Linked DNA regions of Mytilus edulis. The protein of the gene in region 2 purifies or fractionates together with the protein of the main gene of each other region. This does not show direct contact. Links are inferred from orthologs where the notes say so. Each region holds a gene or a part of one and is shown on either strand. Other genes may lie near its edges.

Region 1 (7,269 bases), on a different chromosome or scaffold from region 2:
TTTATCACGTTTCTTCATGTTCTTGTAAGTCATTTTATTTTTTTGTCTTTATTGAAAAAATATCAATCAAACATGTTATGAACAAATAACGTACATTTACTTTTGACACATTCATCCTGTTCATGACATTGTTGTAAACAAGAGGCTCTCAAGAGCCTGAATCGCTCACCTGAATTTTTTTGGTTTAATCTCTCATCAATGATTATTTTGGCTTTTCAATTTATTTAAATGTTCTTGAAATCGTCCTATTCTCTTCAAAAGCCAAAAAAAAAAATCAATTTCTCCTATGTTCTATTTTAGCCATAGGAGCTATGTTTCTTGACATACAAGGAAATGAAATATAAAATTTATACTAGATACTCTGAAACTCTGAAACTCATTTAGCCTAAGTTTGGCTGAAATTGATACAGCAGTTTCAAAGGAGAAGATTTTTTAAAGTAAGTCAACATGATGAACAAATTGTGAAAAAAGTTTTTAAAGGGCAATAACTCCTTAAGAGGTCAATTGACAATTTTTGTCAATTTGACTTATTTGTAGATCTTACTTTGCTGATCATTTTTGCTGTTTACAGTTTATCTTTATCTATAATAATATTCAAGATAATGACCAAAAACTGCAAAATTTCCTTAAAATTACCAATTAAGTGGCAGCAACCCAACAATGGTTTGTTTGATTCATCTGAAAATTTCAGGGCTGATAGATCTTGACCTAATGAACATTTTTACCCCATGTCAGATTTGCTCTAAATGCTTTCGTTTTTGAGATATAAGCCAAAAACTGCATTTGACCCCTATGTTCTATTTTAAGTAACGGTGGCCATGTTTTTTGACGGATCAAAAATCTAAGCACACACTTTGTGCAGGATAATCTAAAGAACAATCATGCTAAGTTTCATCCAAATCCATTCAGTAGTTTCAGAGGAGAAGATTTTTTAAAGTTAGCAAATATGATGAACAAATTGTGAAAAATTGCCATTAAAGGACAATAACCCCTTAAGGGGTCAATTGACAATTTTGGTCATATTAACTTATTTGTAGATCTTACTTTGCTGATCGTTTTTGCTGTTTACAGTTTATCTTTATCTATAATAATATTCAAGATAATGACCAAAAACTGCAAAATTTCCTTAAAATTACCAATTAAGTGGCAGCAACCCAACAATGGTTTGTTTGATTCATCTGAAAATTTCAGGGCTGATAGATCTTGACCTAATGAACATTTTTACCCCATGTCAGATTTGCTCTAAATGCTTTCGTTTTCGAGATATAAGCCAAAAACTGCATTTGACCCCTATGTTCTATTTTAGGTAACGGCGGCCATGTTTTTTGACGGATCAAAAATCGAAGCACACACTTAGTGCAGGATACTCTAAGGAACAATCATGCTAAGTTTCATTCAAATCCATTCAGTAGTTTCAGAGGAGAAGATTTTTTAAAGTTAGCAAATTTGATGAACAAATTGTGAAAAATTGCCATTAAAGGACAATAACCCCTTAAGGGGTCAATTGACAATTTTGGTCATATTAACTTATTTGTAGATCTTACTTTGCTGATCATTTTTGCTGTTTACAGTTTATCTTTATCTATAATAATATTCAAGATAATGACCAAAAACTGCAAAATTTCCTTAAAATTACCAATTAAGTGGCAGCAACCCAACAATGGTTTGTTTGATTCATCTGAAAATTTCAGGGCTGATAGATCTTGACCTAATGAACATTTTTACCCCATGTCAGATTTGCTCTAAATGCTTTCGTTTTCGAGATATAAGCCAAAAACTGCATTTGACTCCTATGTTCTATTTTAGGTAACGGCGGCCATGTTTTTTGACGGATCAAAAATCGAAGCGCACACTTTGTGCAGGATACTCTAAGGAACAATCATGCTAAGTTTCATTCAAATCCATTCAGTAGTTTCAGAGGAGAAGATGTTTGAAAAATTGTTAACGACGACAGACGACGACGACGACGACGACGACGACGACGTCGACGACGACGGACGCCAAGTGATAAGAAAAGCTCACATGGCCTTTTAGGCCAGGTGAGCTAAAAACTAATATTTTTGTGTAATGAATATATAATGAAATAATTCACCAAATGGTATACTCGTACATGTATAGTCCAACCATATGCGTATGGTCCGCCCGTACGCGTTTGGTCGGACCAGATGAGTATAATACTCGTTTGGTTATTAACAGGCCGGACTATATAGGTATTTTTTTTCAGATAACATTATAAACGTTTTAGTAGTACAAAAACTTTATCTAAAAAAAAGTGATGGTTACATGACAATTTATTAATTTTATAATCCAAAAACTACGAAAAAATTAAGTATTGATGTCATAGTTAGTTTTCATCGCTATAGTTAAATTCTTGCATGTACATGTACAAACGGTATCATAGTTTTTTTTGCATTTGCAAGAAATTTGTGCACGATCGTTTTCATTTACACCTTTTGTTTGCGAGTGAAAAGCTAGCCTTTTTGCAGCTGCATACAGTGATACGAAGGTCTTTGACCATTCCCATGTCTATGGTCTTTTTAAAGAGCTCTAAATCTCAAATATCGTAAAATGACTGCAATACACCATATTCACAAGACAACTTAAATAAACTATGTTACTTTCAAGTGACTTCTTGTAATGCTTGTGTAACAGTTCATTAAGAAAGCATTTAGTAATCATCAAAAATCTGATGGATAACTGGATATCATAAGAAGAAGAAGAATGAAAATGAGGTCAAGGTCACATGACCCATGTCCAACAGACAATTCATGTAGTTAGTTTTTCACCTTTGAATTGTTTCACATTATCATTTCCGGGCCTTTCATAGCTGACTAGATGTGGTATGTGCTTTGCTCATTGTTGAAGGCTGTACAGTGACCTATACATGTAGTTGTTAATGTATGTGTCATTGTGGTCTCTTTTGGAGAGTTATCCTATTGGCAATCATACCACATCTTTTTTTATATGTAGATCATGTACATCTTACAATCCTTCCATACACCAAATATATTGACCATATAATCGTTTATAGTTATGAGCATCCTCATGGGGTAATCGATTATGTGATTACTGCACTGTTTTTTGTGATTATTTGATTACCAAACCAAATATTACATGATTATTTGTTTTTTAATAATCTAGGACTGTATTTTTGATTACTATCTTTAAAATAATAATTAATTATTATACGATTATTTTGACAAACAACATGAACAAAAATGTGATTATGTGATTACTTGGGCACCCCCATGACATGAGGGTCTCAGTTATACTTATTGAGGCTGAGAAACAGAGTTATCTGTCTCTAATATTTAATTAACTGTGCATTTGTATTCAGATATCGCAGATCAAATTTATTCGTTCATTGTGTAATCATACGTTTTTTGATTGAGTTAAGTCTGCCAATTGATATTTTATCGTATGTTTTTATATGTTGTGATGTTATGCTATTGTTTCAGAAAAAGGGAGAAGGTTTGGGCCCATTAAAACGTTTAATCCCGCTGCAAATGTTTGCACCTGTCCTAAGTCAGGAATCTGATGTACAGTAGTTGTCGTTTGTTTATGTAATATATACGTGTTTCTCGTTTCTCGTTTTGTTTATATAGATTAGACCGTTGGTTTTCCCGTTTGAATGGTTTTACACTAGTTATTTTGGGGCCCTTTATAGCTTGTTGTTCGGTGTGAGCCAAGGCTCCGTGTTGAAGGCCGTACTTTAACCTATAATGGTTTAATTTTTGAATTGTTGTTTGGATGGAGAGTTGTCTCATTGGCACTCACACCACATCTTCCTATATCTATTATCTAATGCAAACTAGACATGAAATAAATATTGGCAACAGTACAAACGTGCAGCCAACCTTTGAATTAATAAAGCGTAGTTCTTTCAATAGACTGCGGAATAACTGAGCAGTGGCAGTGGGACTTGTCATTTTCATAAACAAAGTCAACGTTATTTGGCGCTTAGGTCATTCTAATTTTAGACACAAATGCTGATTCCAAGGGCGTTGTGTCTAACAGTGCTGTAAAGTAAATACAGAATAAAAATGCAGTTTTATTCGCTTGTATATAACAGCTGATTGAAACTGATACAATTTCTTTCTTATAAAAGCTTGTTTATTTGCAAATTTTGATTAATCATTACACATCTATGATCCAGAAATTAGTCTTATCTGTACCGAATGTGATTTTATAGTAAATCGGTAAAACGTTTCTCTGATAACGATATCGGTGTGAGATATGGCTGAAGCTGGAGACAAAACACCAACTCTTTCGGAGTTGTACCAAGATTTATGGACAACGTATATCTTCACAGAAAATACAAATGATTCAACTTCATCTCAGGACTATCAAGTACATAAATTGATTTACAAAAAAGTCCAGGGGGCTTTTCAATATATACATTTATAATTTTTTGTACATTCACTGGAAATTAAGTCCAAAATTTTTAATTATGACATATTGAATAGTTGAAAGGCTATTATATTTTTTTTTCTTTGACACCTTACGTCGCAGGAGCAAAAATTTAAAATAGCCTTCCAAGACGTCCAGGCGCGTAGCTACGTTTACGTCAAAACGCCCGGGCGTACACTTGAATTTTGGTAAACAAATATGATTATCGGAATATATTAAAACCAAGTGGTTAAAAGCACGTGCATCAGCCTTGAAAATATTTCTACAATAGCTTGCAATAATAAATAAAAGTGACGACTACATTTTATTTGTCAGTCATATGATACCGGCTTATACAGTTCAATTTTCGCGAAAGCCATCCCAAACTCCAAACACCGAGTTTTTTGCTGGTGTGACACCAGGAAACTCCGACATCACTCCCTAAATTGTCGGAGAAATTTGGGAGTATTCCCTCTGACTTCCGTGTAAATCCGTTACCTTTTGTTTATTGTATTAGCGACATCTCTCCCAGTCTGGAGTGACGCGGTGTCACACCAGGTAATTAATTGCCCTAATCCTTCTGATCTATGCCGGCACTCGACAGTCAAGGTATGCGAGATTTCTAATGTAATTAAACAATTGTATTTCCTGTCTAGTCACTCTATTGATTATCAGGTTATATCTGATTGCTTGAAACAAATGAAAGATTAAAATCAAAATCAAAACGTTGTTGTTAATTCTTTCAATTACACTGTACATTTAAATCAAGTTAAAAAAAAACTATATTTGATTTTGACTTCCGTTTTTTATCAGTAAATAAATATTTAATTTACTAAAAGAGATATAATTGTGTAACAATAAACGGAAACTAACGTTGAATAAATTAGGACAGTTTAAAGAAAAATTACACGTCTCAAAGTTTTTTATACAAGTAAAAAAGAAAATATTATTCACTATCTGTTATGCTAATAAGTTTTCATTTCCATTTTACGATTACAAAATAAAAGTTTTAAAAAGCAAAAGATTGTTGTTAATGCTTTCAATTGCAGTAAAGTTTTATAAAAAAAAATCTATACTTGATTATGATCTCGTTGTTTTTATCGGTAATTTATATAACTTGCGAAAATAGATGGAAATTAACGCAGAAGTTATAAAATGTGAGAAAGAAAGAAAATTACGTGTCTTTAAACTTGTATATACAAGAAAAAAAGAAAATACTATTCACAATTCGCTATGCTTAATAAGTCTACGGCATTTTCTCTTCACGATTTGTTAGCATTACTTAAGAATAAATAATACATTTCGGCTACAACAGGAATACTTCTATAGCTGCATCAACTCGTCGTTGCATAATATTCATTTACGCACAATGAATGTAAACTTTTGTGTTGTATTTAAATATTTCTAAACCAATAAATTGCTGTGGGAAGACGATACGCAACTCAGTGATCAACAGTGCGTGGTTGAACTTGACTTCGCTCACAATATTGAATGCTAAAAATAGTGACATCAATTTTGTCCACGAGATTTTTATTTGGCGGGAAATAGTATCATGTAACAGTTAACTCAGGTGACCTTTCTGGATAACCGTGGGAAAATTCATTCAAGGTTTAAACTTGCTTTGTAATGATTGACATAAATTTGTGTGCGTTAAGATTGAGGCTCTAGACGGTCCTTTTACAATTGATTAACCGGATTCTAAATTATATTCCTTTTCTGAATAAACCAACATCAGCCTTTTATTTTTATGTTTCTCAGTCAACAGAGGACATAAAACCGGACATTATTTATACGTCTATAGTCAACACTATATATTAATGGTATATGAAAACAGGATGCATGTTCATGATGGGCGTTGGCAGAGACCTCTGTGAAAATTTGTCGATCGTTAAAATCTGATCTAATTTTTTTTTTACATATTTTTTTCTTGTAGAACACGATATAATTTCATTTTAATATTCTATTGTATAAATTGTTGAACTACTTCTTTTTATATTTCGTCGAGGAGTTTTAACGAGCAGTAAACTACGGATTGCGCCAATCCAATTTTATTTTAAATAATTAAAGATCAATAACAGATTAAAAACACATGATTTCTTTTCTCCATATAATTAAATAAGGTTGTGATAATTGTGTTGTGTCTTCTCAGTATTTATGAATATAGGGCTGCCACATTGCATACAAAACTATTTGTCACTTTACAGTTTCTTTTTAAAATTCAAATATTTCAAGTCGGAAATTTTATTCTACCGAGGTAGTGAAACATAATATTTTACATTTCAAAATAAATTGAAAGTAACAGAGTTCACTTGGCATGCTTGTTGATCCGATAAATTAACTCTTGGGTTTAATTTAGATTGGACAAATTACCTTAAAAACATCATTTTGTTTTAAGCCAGTTGATATTAATTTTATAATATTGAACTATTAATGAACCCAATATTGCTCACTGAGTAGGTCATAAAAGGTTCTAATTGTGGTAAAATCGTCTTTGTTGAAAAAAAACCCAAAAATTATGACCTGATCGGACTATAATGGAAATACAAAATAAGCGTTTTATTCGTATTTTTATACGTCTGTACGCTGTATGTCATATGACAATGACATGGGCATATACATACAAGAATAATAATCTTATTTTAAATAGAAATGTCACACTTTTATCTGACAATGAAAGGACATTTAAATAACGTATTTTAAAGCACACAGGTGCAATCAAGATCGATTAAATGTACAAAGGTAATAAATCTGGCTAATCCGATGATGTTGTCACGCGTCATTAATTTTCAGAACATCCGATGGGCAATAAACCAATTAACAGCCACGCGGTGTTGGGAGAGAATCTTTGGAGGAAATTGGGAGTATAATCCGTGATTCGTG
Region 2 (6,941 bases):
CAAACAAACGGGTTGTTGTTCCTCTAAAAAGTACCATAGTGAAAATTAATGCTACATCATTTTTACCTGTACATTGTATGTAGTATGGGAATGATATCAAACTCAAATATTAACAATGTGTTCACACTACACACACAAAAAAAGTTTCCAATTCAGAAATTAATGCAAGGTTTTTAATAATGGGGAAAATGCAACACATTTTAAACGCAATAATTTTAACTCGCATTTGAAATATTTGATATGAATTAAACCGAATTTTTCTCAAAACCTTAAAAATTAAAATCGCATTTTAAGTCTAAAATAACAAAAACGCAATAATAAATGCACCAATAGTTTCTGAATTTACAGTAGATGCAGTAAAAGATGTTATGCATTAGAGGTAATTTGACATTTATGGCATTTTTGTTCATTTAGTTTCTTATTGTACTACTTAAGCTTTGTCAAGTCAATTTTATGAAAACTTTGAAAGAACATTTAATCAGATAATCAAAAAGCCTTACGCTCCAAGATCCCACAAACGTAGAGTCTTGTCCCATGATCCAGACAAAGCAAACTGGCCATCAGATGACATGACTACATCTGATACAAAGTGACCATGACCTCTTAAACATCTGAGTGGTAAACCATAATTTGTCTCGTCTCTGGTCAATTTCCACATAATCAAGGTCTTGTCTGAAAATAAGAATTGTTGAAATTCAAAAGAAGACAATGACTGGCTACATATATAATACATATATCCTGCCCTATAATTTGTTGTCAACCTTTATACAAACGTTCACAGTTCTATTCTCAAATAAATAATAAACAAGAATGTGTCCACAGTACACGGATGCCCCACTCGCACTATCATTTTCTATGTTTAGGCCGAGAAAAAAAAGATCAGTGTTTCCGGTAACCCGACCGACCCTGTTTTTTAGCCCCGACCCTAACTTTTTTATTGGATCTTCCAAAAAAAAAAAAAAAAATTTATCAACCGACCCTGTTTTTGACACAGGCTTCTGATAGATGACATAATATTTTTTCTCTCTTGCTTCCTCTTGCATAGAAAGCCAGTCATAGAAAGCCAGTAAAACATTTTATTAATGTCAAAAGGTATTCCAAATAGGTTAAAATCCAAGAAATTTGCACAGCAGGTGCTTCAAAAACATTGCAAATGGCACACTTCCGGTTTTTGAAACTAATTACGGATCCGAACTTGGAAAAAAACATGATAATTTTCCGGATTTCATTTACGATGTCAAAAAAAAAAAAAAAAAGAAAAAAAAAAAGAATTCCGACCTACCTACCCTATTTTTTAAAATGATGTTACCGGAAACACATATCTTTTTTTTTTGGCCTTAGTGGACCGTGAAATTGGAATAAATTCTCTAATTTGGCATTAAAATTAGAATGATCTAATCAAAGGGAACATGTATACTAAGTTTCAAGTTGATTGTGGACTTCTACTTTATCAAAAACTACCTTGACCAAAAACTTTAACCTGAAATTTGCACTATCATTTTCTATGTTCAGTGAACCATAAAATTGGGGTCAAAACTATAATTTGGCATTTAAATTAGAAAGATCATATCATAGGGCACATGTATACTAAGTTTCAAGTTGATTGGACTTCAACTATTGGACTTCAACTTCATCAAAAACTACCTTGACCAAAAACTTTAACGATTGGACTTCAACTTCATCAAAAACTACCTTGACCAAAAACTTTAACCTGAAATTTGCACTATCATTTTCTATGTTCAGTGAACCGTAAAATTGGGGCCAAAACTATAATTGGGCATTTAAATTAGAAAGATCATATCATAGGGCACATGTATACTAAGTTTCAAGTTGATTGGACTTCAACTTCATCAAAAACTACCTTGACCAAAAACTTTAACCTGAAGCGGGACAGACGGACGAACGAACGAACAGACAGACGAACGGACGCACAGATCAGAAAACATAATGCCCCTCTACTATCGTAGGTGGGGCATAAAAAATAATCAGACATACTGACCTAATTAATTATAAACTAATTTCAATACTTTTCCTTTTTATTACAAAATTGTTTATATTGACACTTTATACCTGTAGTGCAGTCTTCACCATTAGTCAAAATAATTATGATGTCTTGAAATATATTTTATTTTTTGCTTTGTAGCCTTTCTGGCATGGGATGTCATATATGCCCAACTTATTTTTTTTAGTAAGACTTTTAAAAACGTTTTACTGATTTCTTCTATATAGACACTTTGAAATTCATTTTAGGAGTATAAAATAATATATTTGTTTTCCAAACTCTAAATTTTGATGGACATGAATTTAAATATAAATCAAACATCCCGAAAAGATTGTGCGTCATATATTATTCTGAGTTTGGTGCAAATAAATATTTTATAGTACTCTTCTAATTATATACATAGGGAAATTAGCTTACGGCGCAGTCCGGTGTATCCATGCACCTAAGACTTATGACTTCATTTCATTCAACTGATAAAACCAATAAATGGATAATATTGGGTGAACACATTCATAACATACTTTTATTTTATAAAATCTTCTGTTTGTATGGTTTCACCCAAGATTTTGTGTAATGCGTGTCCAAAATTAGGGAAACCCCTGTTCTGAGATTTCCTCCAATGTCTGGGGATTTCGCACATGCCTTCCAAAAATATGTTATTTTGAATAAAGGAAAGACTTTCTACTCCAAAATATAGCTGAATTTGAACCAAACACACTTCCAAGGATGCAGAGCAAAAATTATTTCAAACTAATAAAATTTTGACTTAAATAAAACAAATTTTATCTGATGATGTAATTTTTTTTAATGGAAATTAGTCAAATATTGTAAATCACGGGTTTGCAGTTATTAACCTCTTGAACTTATAATTTTTTTTTTAATCCCTTCTGAAGGCTAAAACAATAACAAGAACGATTTTATTTGTGTTACTTTGTTGATATGACGAAATCAGATAATGCACAGTATCACTGGCCATGCAGACACCACTGTAGAAGCGTTTTATTGTTAACTTGGGTCTAAAGTTTGAGAGAAATTCCATCACACAGTCTTACCAAAAAACATGTCTTCAATAAATAAAATTTCAAGACGTCACAATTATTAGGACTATATTTGCACCAGAGTAGTACATGTTTGCAAAACATTGTTACGACACATACATTTTTTTCTAATATTCTTGAACTAGTGATAAATAACGATTTTGGTGCAGACAGCTGGTATATTTACATGTTCTGTATGAATTGATCATATGTCACAGATTCCGTTCTAGGGAACAATTGTACATCTACATTATACTATGATCCATCAGCCCATTGATGAATATACCATACTGTCATGACTGTACATGTTCATGCTCAGTCCCTGTATTTTCGAATGTTCCACTTGAGAAAAAGCGCCTACGAACTTTACTTAAATGCAGATTGCAATCAGAAATGATATTCTCTCCAAACTGCGGCTTTTAATTCGATCTTCTGCCAATAGGTCTACCGGCATTTCAACATTGAAGATGAAAAATGTACATGTAAACAAATTTACACAGTATGACAAAAAAGACAACGTTGCAATAAAAAGATAGAGTATGTGCATCGTCTTGAAGATCGAATACATTGATAATATGTGCAAAACATGCAGGTTATACAAAAAATGAGATCTATTCAGAATATTTTACCCCGAGAAGATGACAACACCATATCAGGATATTGGGGAGTTGTGGCAATCTGTGTCACCCATCCTCCATGCCCTTGGAGGGTCCCTCTAAGCGTCATTTGCTCCGCCATCGTTTTCTTGTTTTTAATGAAAATTCAACTATGATTGGCGCAGATTCGATATAACTTATTTAGTTCGCCATGAACTAAGACGGGCAAACCGGAAAAGGAAGTCTGTAGTTAACTCGCTTGGTTTAGAAAAATTCCGATAGATGTCACCAAACGGAATAAGGACACCAGCAGAGTGACTCAGAATCCAGTTTATATTTGCATTAAAATTTTGAATCATTTAAGATAAATAATGATTAACATCACGATTAGTTCTTAATTTAGTAATTCGTCATTTTTATTTATCTTATATAAATAAAAATTTTCATTCGTTAACAATTATTTATGAAAGTGACGTCACTCGAGAAGGAAGACACAGCCATTTTGTCGGCGCCTCGATGTGCTGAGACTTGAAAATAACACCAAATAAGAGATAAATAACGCATTTTTGTATACATTTGTCAAGTTTAATACATGTAAACATATCTTTTCAAAATGAGTTACGTTGACGATCATGCAACAGCAAAAGAACTCGATACATGGATTGAACAACTTTATGATTGCAAACAACTGACCGAAAATCAAGTCAAAACATTGTGTGAAAAGGTATATACACTTTCATCAACTGTTTTCCCTTTAAAAATACTTACAGACATAGTGACTTTAATGTCATAACTGCATAAAGCATGTGTCGGCCTATAAATGACTGTATAACTGTTGCATCAAACTCGCATGGCAACACATTTTTACGAAACCAATTTTTCGTAAAATTGTATATGGCAACCAAAGTTTTCTTTGCTCAGGTGTACTGATATCGTATCTAATCACATTTCATAAAACAGCCTAGCACAGTTAAAAGGTTTTCAAAGGTTTCAATCCAGCATCCTGAATGTGTTTTAGTCAACATGCCACAAACCATTTATTGATAACTCTGGTAGCACAAGAAGTATACCTCAAGTCTTGTTAAATACACTATTTGACTTACACAAGTTACAGTAAGATGGACCAATTGAACTAAAATGTTGTGTTCATCACATTAAATGAAATTCAAGGATATTTTTACATGTTTTATCCCCAGCTTTGAGAATGAATCATTGGTATTATAGATGTAACTAATTGTAAATACCTCAAGCAGTGTATTTGATTAAAGAAACTTAAACACAAACACTAACCTCCTTTCCCCAATTTAAAATCTAAGTTTTCAGTTTTTAAATCAAACGCACAAGAATTTCATTTAAAGATATGTCAAAAGGGCAGCGAAGGATGTTCTAGGTTGTTGACATCTGAAAACATAATCCTGCTGCAGGCTTCAAAGATAAAAGTTGATGGAGCATTTATGTAGCACTGATCAGGCTTATTAACTCTTCTTATAAGGTAGTGTTCAGTTGTGTGTTGTCACACACAGAAAATGTTCATTCTAGCTTTGGATAACTTTTAAGCTTGGAAATTATGCCAAATAGCATGAATAGTAAAGAAGATGTAGTAATGAAAATATTTTCAGAAGTATTATTCTTGACAGCTATATATGTTCTTTTTTATGCCCCACCTACGATAGTAGAGGGGCATTATTTTTTCTGGTCTGTGCGTCCTTCCGTCTGTTCGTCCGTCTGTCCCATTTCAGGTTAAAGTTTTTGGTCAAGGTAGTTTTTGAAGAAGCTAAAGTGTAATCAACTTGAAACTTTGTACACATGTTCCTTATGATATGATCTTTCTTATTTAAAAAAAAAAAATTAATCTTTTGACTCCATTTTCATGGTCCACTGAACATAGAAATTAAAAGTGTGAGTTTCAGGTTAAAGTTTTTGGTCAAGGTAGTTTTCAATGAAATTAAAGTCCAATCAACTTGAAACTTAGTACACATGTTCCCTTTTGGTTGATCAATTTACTTCTAAGGCCAAATTAGATTTTTTACCCGATTTCACGGTCCATTGAACATAGAAAATGATAATGCGAGTGGGGCATTCGTGTACTTTGGACACATTCTTGTTTGCAACCAAAAATCATCAATAAATGTTGTGTAAAACCATGTTAAAACATATATCAGAAACAACTTCAGCAAATGGCAGCTAACAGAAAATATATAATACATGTAGTTAATTGTAATTTGATCTCTTGCATAAGTCCCTGTTTTAAGCAGGTGACAGTTAATATACATACACTATTTTATTTTGTTTGGTCTTATAATTGAACTGATGAGCTATATCATGTATATACAACACCTCAGTTTTGTAGGACTTGTATTTATTCTCCTAATGTATGATTAATTGTTTGATTATGATATTCACTGTTCAGTTCTTATTTTCTGGCTATTGACATGCATTTATATTAAATGCTGGGACTTCTTTAACCTGAAACAAATGAGGCTTATAATGTGAATTTTAAATAAAAATGCATTTTGAGGCACTCTTTAATTTATTTAATACTAATAAACAATTAATTTTTTTCAGGCTAAAGAAATATTGTCCAAGGAATCAAATGTTCAGGAAGTTAAATGTCCAGTTACTGTGTGCGGGGATGTCCATGGCCAGTTCCATGACTTGATGGAATTGTTCAGAATTGGTGGAAAATCACCAGACACTAACTACTTGTTCATGGGAGACTATGTAGACAGAGGATATTACTCAGTAGAAACAGTAACACTTTTAGTAGCTTTGAAAGTATGTATAGTACATTTATTTACACATTTTGTCTTTGTTAAGGCCATAAAAAAGAATAGATTTGTTTGCCCAAACGCTACCTACCCAGAAAAAAGTTGCCTACTCAAATTCTTTTATTGTCCTAATTTGAAGAAGTTTTTTTTTTTATCAGATAGGCATAAAGACTAATAAACACCCGATACTTCAATTTCTCTTTTTGAAAAAAAAAAAGAAAATGCCTACCTACCTACCCACTGTCTCAACCTTTGGGTAGGGTTTGGGCAAACCAAAATATTTTTAATTGTGGCCTAAACAAAACTACATTTTGGCTAATGTTAAAAGCAACAATTAAAAAGTGCAGCTTGATTCAAAATGAACAGTTGGAAAATATTTATTTGATTATCTTTCATTCATAAAACTTGCATCCTCTATGATTTAAAAAGCAATGTCTACTCCATGTGCTTTGCAATTTATGAGACTTTCACTAAAAATTATCCAATTAATCCTTACTGATAGCCAGTATACATGGTATAGTTAATTGTAGAAATTAAA
Region 3 (7,888 bases), on a different chromosome or scaffold from region 2:
CCTTTGTTTTTTCTATTATATACCTCAACACACAACCAACACACCTTAAAGTAGCCCCCTCTGTTTTAAACACTGTGTTGTTTTCCACAAATGTATACTTTGCTGGAGAGATGTCTAGATCCTGTTGAGATAATCTTTGGAATTTTGATACAATGGTCTCTTGAGCTGTGAATATAAAATAAAAAGACACATATTACTCAATAATAGGGTGGATGGATGGAGTGGTGTTTCAAGTCCTGCTGTAAATATTGCATGCATTCAAGGACAAGATCATGTATAGTGTAGTCAATCAGGGGTAATGTTTGGTTTAGTCTAAACATATTTCATATTGTTCAAAATGGACAAATGGATTAGACACACGTTTTTCAACTTTGTAACATCTTTTCCAAAATACCTATACATATTTATTTACTTAAAGATACAAGTAATGTTCTGGTCAGAGACCACAATTATTTCGTAGTGCATTTCTTTTAGAACATAAATGAAATATAAAAAATCCCACCTGCGCTTTCTCAATTAAATTTTTACAGTGTGTTGTACTACTTTTGGGACAAATTATATCAAAATTATAGAAAACTTCATCAGCTCTAACTCAAAATATGGACAATTTTATATTTAGGGCGTCTTGAAATCTTTTGACAGCTTCCAAAGTGCTAATTTTTAACCTTTTTCAGCTGGACCAAATCACTACTTTCCTTTAAAATTCTGGACCCAAATTTTTTTACAGTGTAATTTCACCTCCCTACTTGCAATTTGAGGCATAAAACATGGAGAAATAAATTTGGAAGGGGTATAAAAAACATTGGCAAGTAACCCACTGTCAACACTAGGGACTATATTCGTGAACAACGAAAATCAAAGGACGACAATTGTGGTCTCGGACCTTCTCTTACATAAGTAAACTACGATATGATTTTATTTTCAAGCTTTGAATAATCTCCTTTGATCTCCACCAAAATTAACTTATATATACAAGTTATTTGTTTTTACAACACCTTAATATCCACCTTTATCTCAAAAACTCAGCAAGGAAAGCTATTAAACATGTAGATAATAATTAATTGTGCAAAGTCTTGAAAATTGCTTGCTAAAGGCATGTAAAAGAGTTTTTTTTTTTTTTAAATGACCTACTAATATGACATTTTTATTGTTAACATGGTTGATGGAATTATACATTTTATAAATAGCAATGACAATTATACACTGACTGTATACTAGAGCAATGTAGTCAAAATAAGACATTCTTATTTACATTTTGGTTAAAAATAAAATCTTTATGTCTTTTAAAGGGATATAACTCTACACCTCCAAAATAATGTATCTGCATGTAACAGTAAATCAAAAAACATTTGAACAAAGATTAATCCTGACTGACAACTAGTACATTGTTGTAGCTGTAAATTAACCTAGTTAATTTTTACTTTGATATCCTTACTTGCTTCAAATCGTTCTTGTTTTTTTCACTTTCCCAGAACCGTAACTGATCCAGAAATGTTCATAAAAGAGGTAAGGTTGCGCTCCAGTCATGATTCAGTGATTCCCTATATAAATAACCAAATTTTCGCCTCAGAAAAAGGTGCTGCCACCTGAAAACCCTCTAAATCCACCTCTTCAGAAGGCATGTATTATATATTTATTATTTTCTTTTTTTAGAGATTAAATATAACATTTGTATAATAATTACATTTTGTGACTTGGTTACATACATCAGGAACACTACCACAATGGTCAGCATGCCAATGAGTTATAATTATTTCCTGTATGCCACATTTGTGTTGTGATAGGACATTCTGTAAATTCTTGATGTAATCAGGTGTTCCTGTGTCTGTGGTATCCAACAATATTCTCCTAAAATTATATATATAAAATCAAATGTATGTGATGAGGGATATGTAAACGAGACAAAAATATTACAAAGATATAATATAAAGATCAACATATACAGTCAGGGGACTTATTGAAATAAGTGATTTTTAAATCACTTATTTGAGTAGCAAATTCGAAGTTTTGTCACAAAACGTGATTTTGTAGTTTTAGTAAAAAAAAATTAACACATAGGTTTAAATAATATCTTTTCATTAGTAAAATGAAAAAAAAAAACTTTTTGCTTCTTTTTAGTAGTAAGGTTATGCCTTTGATGCTGTCATTTAGCTGCAAATTCTATTTTAGTTGAAACAAGACTTAGAGGCTGTCACAACGACAGCAAACCGGATTTATTAACATTTAATTTTGTGTCCTGGCAATATCACAAGAACCATAACTGATGAACGGTGAAAGTGAAAATCGTCAATGTCAAATTTGACCTCAATTCTGTCATCAGTATCAACATATTAAAATTTGAAAAGCTTAGGTTGAATGGTTCATGTGTAAATGCAACAATATGAATTAGTGGGGGTCATCAAAATAGTGATACTTATTCAAGAAGTGAATTTTGGGAGGGAAATTGCATGAGATATGATACTTAAACAAGTCATTTTTATCTCACTATCCTAGATTCAGTACAAGGTCATCACCTGACATGACCTGGTCATCCTATCAGTGCAGATGTTGGTTCTGATAAGTTTATAAACATATTTAGTCCCTGGATCAGTATTGTATATTTAAAGCTACATGTACATGTACATAAAATTAAATCACTTCTTCTAGTAATTAATTTGTACTACTTAAATAGGTGATTATTAGAGAAAGACAACTCTCACTTCCAACTTTTATGGAAATAATATTACTTGAATCAGTGATTTAGAAAATCACTCATTTAGGTAAGTCCCCTTACTGATATATATGCTTTGCTGAAAAGGATCAATTCTATTTTCTGTTTTAATAACCTTTCATGATCCTCCTGAATGGAAATGCTTCTGTGGTAATAATTATAATTGGCATAAATTTTATAAATTAATATACATGTTAAATAGAACCATTTTGGTTTTTTGGGGGGTTAAGGTTGCAATAAACAGTTAGGAAAAAATACTAAAATTTGCCCTCATAAATTTTACCATCCCCTTTTCATTGCTTTCTTGCAAAATTAGTTACATGTATATATAAGCTTGTAAACTGTTTGTGTTATATATGTGCATACATGTATGTAGTCAGAATCCTTCATAGATTTTATATCCAGAATATAAAATGGTAAAATATAATTTCTTTTGGGTGTATCCATGGCAACAATCTGCATTTATTTGCTATAAAATATTGCAAAAAGGGGGAAAGATGTCACATATATATATCTCCCCAAAATTTGGCTAAAAGTAGAATTTCAATCGCTTAAAGTAATACCTTTTCTTAAACTGTGTACATATATCATTCAGTAAATCCAATGAAAATCATATGTCTTTCATCTCATTTTTTTGTAAAATTGCATCAGAAACTTCGTGTAGAAAAAAAATGTTTGTAAATATTACATTAGTTTCTGAACCGATGGCCAGTCTTAAGCTATGAAAATATGGATTGTCATACAGAAAATAGCCCATTAAACGTGTAAAAAATAATTTTAATGCTCTTATAAACCATCTTTGAAGGCTAAGTTAGTACTCAGCTGTCTGAAAATGAATTTTATTACACAATTACATTCCTATTTGAAAAATCCACCAGGGCCAATGCAAACTAAACTCCTAACAGTGTATTGCTACCTAATATCTTCTTGTGTTGAATCTGAGCCTACTACAACACATTAATTTATAGCAGTCTTAGGTTGAATATATGGTAAACGGACAGAAAGTCACAGGACAAAAAGTCACAAATTTGGTAGGACAAAAAGTCACAAATTTGGTAGGACAAAAAGTCACAGGACAAAAAGTCACAAATAATCTGTTGACAATTGTTTGAATATATAAGAGAAATATCTTGCAAAATTTACTTTTTAATACATATATTTATATTAAAGTTTAGGGAATGTGTCATTATACTTGCAAAATGAAGATTTATTTGATGTTAATCATACAAAAGAAAGATTTCTTGGCACCATGAAGCCATTGAAGTGCCAAGCCACTTTGACATTTTGTTTTTTTAACAATTATTTGTTCATCTTTGATATTTTTTTGATAAATTTTGTTTACAAAGTTGGTTTTTATACAATAGTTAAAGAAAATACAAAAATATTTTGTTAAAAATAAGCTTTTTTTATTCATGTTATTCAAAGAAAATAATCAGAAAAAATGCATTTTGACTTTTTGTCCTGTGACTTTTTGTCCGTGACTTTTTGTCTGTGACTATTTGTCTGTGACTTTTTGTCCTGTGACTTTCTGTCCTACATTCTATATATACACACAACTATTTGCCACTGTACATTAAAAGAGACATTCTGAGTTCACACACCTAGGTTCAAATATCATCATGTGCTAGCCCAAGACTCAACTTCAACATGTTCTAGATGTCAGATGTAGAACATCTTTAGGCTAAAGCCAATACTCAGTACTATAGTATAGCCTAGATAAATTATATAATTTTGATGATGATTTTAATATTTGATCATCACTGACATCAAACTGAGTGTAATATTTTATTGAAATTTCACCTGTCACCTTTACCAATCAAGTAGGAATTTGTGCCTTGTAAAGTCATTGGTCTTGCATTGCATCCTAATATTCTGATTACACGTTCTGACAGTTTTTCTATTTGAGGAAGTGGAGCTAATTTCACTGAAGATGCCATTCTTCTATATTTTTTGTTAGATCACATGACAGTCATGTGACCTGGCATTTTGGGTTAAGAATGTATGCTTTGTTGAATGATTTGCTGGTTTAACTAAAAATAAAAATACTATACTAAAATTAATCTTTATTGAGGAAATAGAAAAATAATCAGACAAGGTCGGCATATTGTCGGAAACTTAAAAAATCAATTTAACGTTTGAAAGATGGCACATTGTGGCTAGAGAAAAAGCTTTTCATTGAACACGAACGACTTTCCTGATTTACTTCCGGACAAGACGAAAACATCAGAACTTTCATTGTTTTCACTTTAAAACTTTTTTCCATGAATCCAGACGGATAGTAGACAATTTATTCTTTAAAATGAGTAATCAAAGGTGAGTATCATATATAATTTTACTTCATCAGGTCTGTGATTTCTGAAGAAGATAATAAAACCATCCTTAAAATGATGCTGTCACAAACTAAAAAATAAATAAATAAAACAAATCACTTCAAACAGATACACACACACAGATCCTGTTACATTTTTTCTTCAGAAGTTTCAAGTTAGCATTGTTCTCACTAAGGCGACCCCATGAGTCCTAGACTTATCAAAATCTGTCTGGACTCACCATTTTCAAAACTTGTGAGTCCACAGACAGTGATCTGGAAGGTTTTTTTCACTATGGGCCCAGGGCCCCTCAAAAATAAATTCAATGGGCCATTTTAAAAAATAATGGGCCATGTTGTCAAATGAGTGGGCCATTTGAATTGACCTCTGTAAAAAAAATAAAAAGTATCATTATTTTTTGCCAAAGAGGTGTTGTAACTTATCTTTATGATTTTAAATAATATCATGGATATTGTTCCTGTGATTCTGTAATTTTAATGAATATACAATAACTTCTTGCAAAACGGACAATATTAAAGATAACCTTTATTTACAATGTTTAAACTGGTACTGTTGCCTTGACTTGTTCATGTTTATGTTGGGTTTTTTTTAACAATAAATTTGGGTCTTCGTCGATATCATACTTATTCCAGGCGTTCCGTATTAGAAGACATTTCAGGCACTTCCTCTGCACTTCTTGTATTATTATTATTACTTTATCACGACGACAAGAATAACAGTAGAGAGTACCATTAGTTGATAGAACAAAACAATAATTCGCTGAAGTCATGTTTACAAAATGTCAAAACGAGCCAAAGACCAAAAAACGGCAAGGACAGTTAAGCGCCTTTTATGGAGACAAAAACTATATTCATAAAAAGGCTTCGGGGGTTTTCAATCGAAATAATACAAGGCCGTAACTACCCTTGAGGCAAGTGAGGCAATTGCCTCACTAAAATTTCGACACTGATTAATTTTTTTATACATATATACAAATAAAATAGTCTTTTGTTGTTCTGTCTCAACCTTAATTTCTATAACTTTTCATCATTCCTTTAAACTATTCTTCCTGGATATAACTCAGCATCTCAACGGGTGATGTTTCTCAATTACATTAACCTAGTAACGATAATCATCATGGATCTCTGGTTAAAAACAGGCTCTTGCAGAAAAAGGAAAAGCGACACTGAAGGTAAAGAAGGAATAATTCTAGTAAACTAATTTGTTTGTGAACGTAGTCTGCGTATTGCATATAACTTCATTAGAACAATCAAAAAACGATAAGTAGACTGACAAATCAAGTAGTCGGCATCGCAAGGGGGCAGTCCTGTCTGTGTATTCATTTCTCCGTTTCATCAACTTTAATCTTTCTCTTTACAGATAAATAAAATATAAATAATATGAAACATGCATGGATTAGTTTTTCATGATCCATGTTTCTTTAACCTTAAAAATTGAAAGAACATCCCATATTCCAATTTGACATTATTGAGGAATGGTATAGAACCTTTATCACAGGATTTTGTCTTTACTTATTCGGGACTACGGAATTTCATTTCTTTATATTCGGGGTTTCGGAATCAGACACCCCCAACCCCTAACCCCTAAATTTATAGATTCTGGAACTAAAATACCACCGACTATTTCCAGAAATAATTTGAAATTACGGACCTACATGTAAACGTCAAAACTCCATTTTAATTCCCCTGTACCCATATCATATATACTTACTCTATAGATAGATCATATACATGTATCTTATCCCATTCTATCCCTAGTTTGTTTACTCTTTGTCAGCATACAAGCGAGTTTAATATTTTGTAACTGAGACTGTATGATGATGCTAGCCTTTATAGGAAAGCTTAATTCCCTTTTGCAAACAAAACTGTTACTACCGATGCTGCTACCGAATTGCTGATGGAGAAGGAATTGGAAGAAGACATTGATCATTGTGTTGATGATAATGTGCTACCTTTAGAAACACAGACTGCCCTGAAACGACTGAAATCTAGGAAAAGAGCATACATGAGTGGCGAGAGGTTGTGCGGTCTTGCCATGCTCCATGTTCATCGCGATAAGGATATCAGCAGACCAAAGTTATGATTCTAAAACAATTTGACTGAACCCACCATAGAAATAATTGGCAAACTCTACTGAATCGATGTTTGTTCTATGTTCTGGCGGCAGATTTAAATTGATATTTGGATGATTATCTTACATACAAATTCAAATAAAGTTGTTAAAAATTTGGTATTAGTAAAAGTCTTTAAATATGAACAATTTATATAAAAACTGTCCAAATTCAAAACATTATCAAACTCTCTAAAAATGCCTAGAACGCAGGATTTTGCACCATTCATTCATACCCTCCAAAAAAATTTAACGCCTCGCTTCGCTCGGCTCAATTATTTTGCCTCACTAAAATAAGATGCCTAGTTACGGCCTTGTAATAGCAAGCTAAACTAAATTAAAAGATTATCATTAGAGTTAAATCTCGTCTGTAATAGCCAAATTTCACAAATTTAAAGTTCTTTACAAAAAATTGTATCATGAATGATGGTTAATTACGTTTTTTGGGATATCAGTTAAACTGCATGGTTCTATTATTACCATAGGAAAACACCTGAGACGTTAAACTTCATGGTTCTATTACCATAGGAAAACAACCGAGACGTCCCAAAAATGTATATAGGTGCTCCTATGATTGGAGGAACATTATACAGTTGTGTACACACACATGGCGGCATGCAAACGATCGGAAATCCATTTGACGATATCTAAACGTTTCGAAACGATGTGAAAAATATCGTGCGCCACGTGGGCGCTTACATTTGTCACTCTATGCGCCATTTCTGGTCAATATGCGCTA

What was found.
Region 1: the proteins of serine/threonine-protein phosphatase 2A catalytic subunit beta isoform (region 2) and immunoglobulin-binding protein 1-like purify together in Drosophila melanogaster (affinity purification with western blotting; 3 studies listed by BioGRID, with this or other methods). This does not show direct contact. The link is inferred for Mytilus edulis from reciprocal best matches to the Drosophila melanogaster genes mts and Tap42.
Region 3: the proteins of serine/threonine-protein phosphatase 2A catalytic subunit beta isoform (region 2) and serine/threonine-protein kinase 3-like purify together in Drosophila melanogaster (affinity purification with western blotting; 3 studies listed by BioGRID, with this or other methods). This does not show direct contact. The link is inferred for Mytilus edulis from reciprocal best matches to the Drosophila melanogaster genes mts and hpo.

What each region holds. Positions count from the first base shown.
Region 1 is NC_092345.1:81,758,511-81,765,779, forward strand, and holds the start of immunoglobulin-binding protein 1-like, read left to right. Parts: upstream 1-4,194; 5' UTR 4,195-4,236; coding exon 4,237-4,350; intron 4,351-7,269. Other genes in the region: protein FMC1 homolog, read right to left, coding at 3,858-3,935.
Region 2 is NC_092352.1:55,731,025-55,737,965, forward strand, and holds the start of serine/threonine-protein phosphatase 2A catalytic subunit beta isoform, read left to right. Parts: upstream 1-3,901; 5' UTR 3,902-4,248; coding exon 4,249-4,359; intron 4,360-6,200; coding exon 6,201-6,410; intron 6,411-6,941. Other genes in the region: small ribosomal subunit protein RACK1, read right to left, coding at 1-23, 501-672, 3,669-3,777.
Region 3 is NC_092355.1:58,086,821-58,094,708, reverse strand, and holds the start of serine/threonine-protein kinase 3-like, read left to right. Parts: upstream 1-4,879; 5' UTR 4,880-5,009; coding exon 5,010-5,023; intron 5,024-7,888. Other genes in the region: endoribonuclease LACTB2-like, read right to left, coding at 45-165, 1,685-1,848, 4,511-4,647. UniProt on the Drosophila melanogaster protein: Plays a key role in the Hippo/SWH (Sav/Wts/Hpo) signaling pathway, a signaling pathway that plays a pivotal role in organ size control and tumor suppression by restricting proliferation and promoting apoptosis.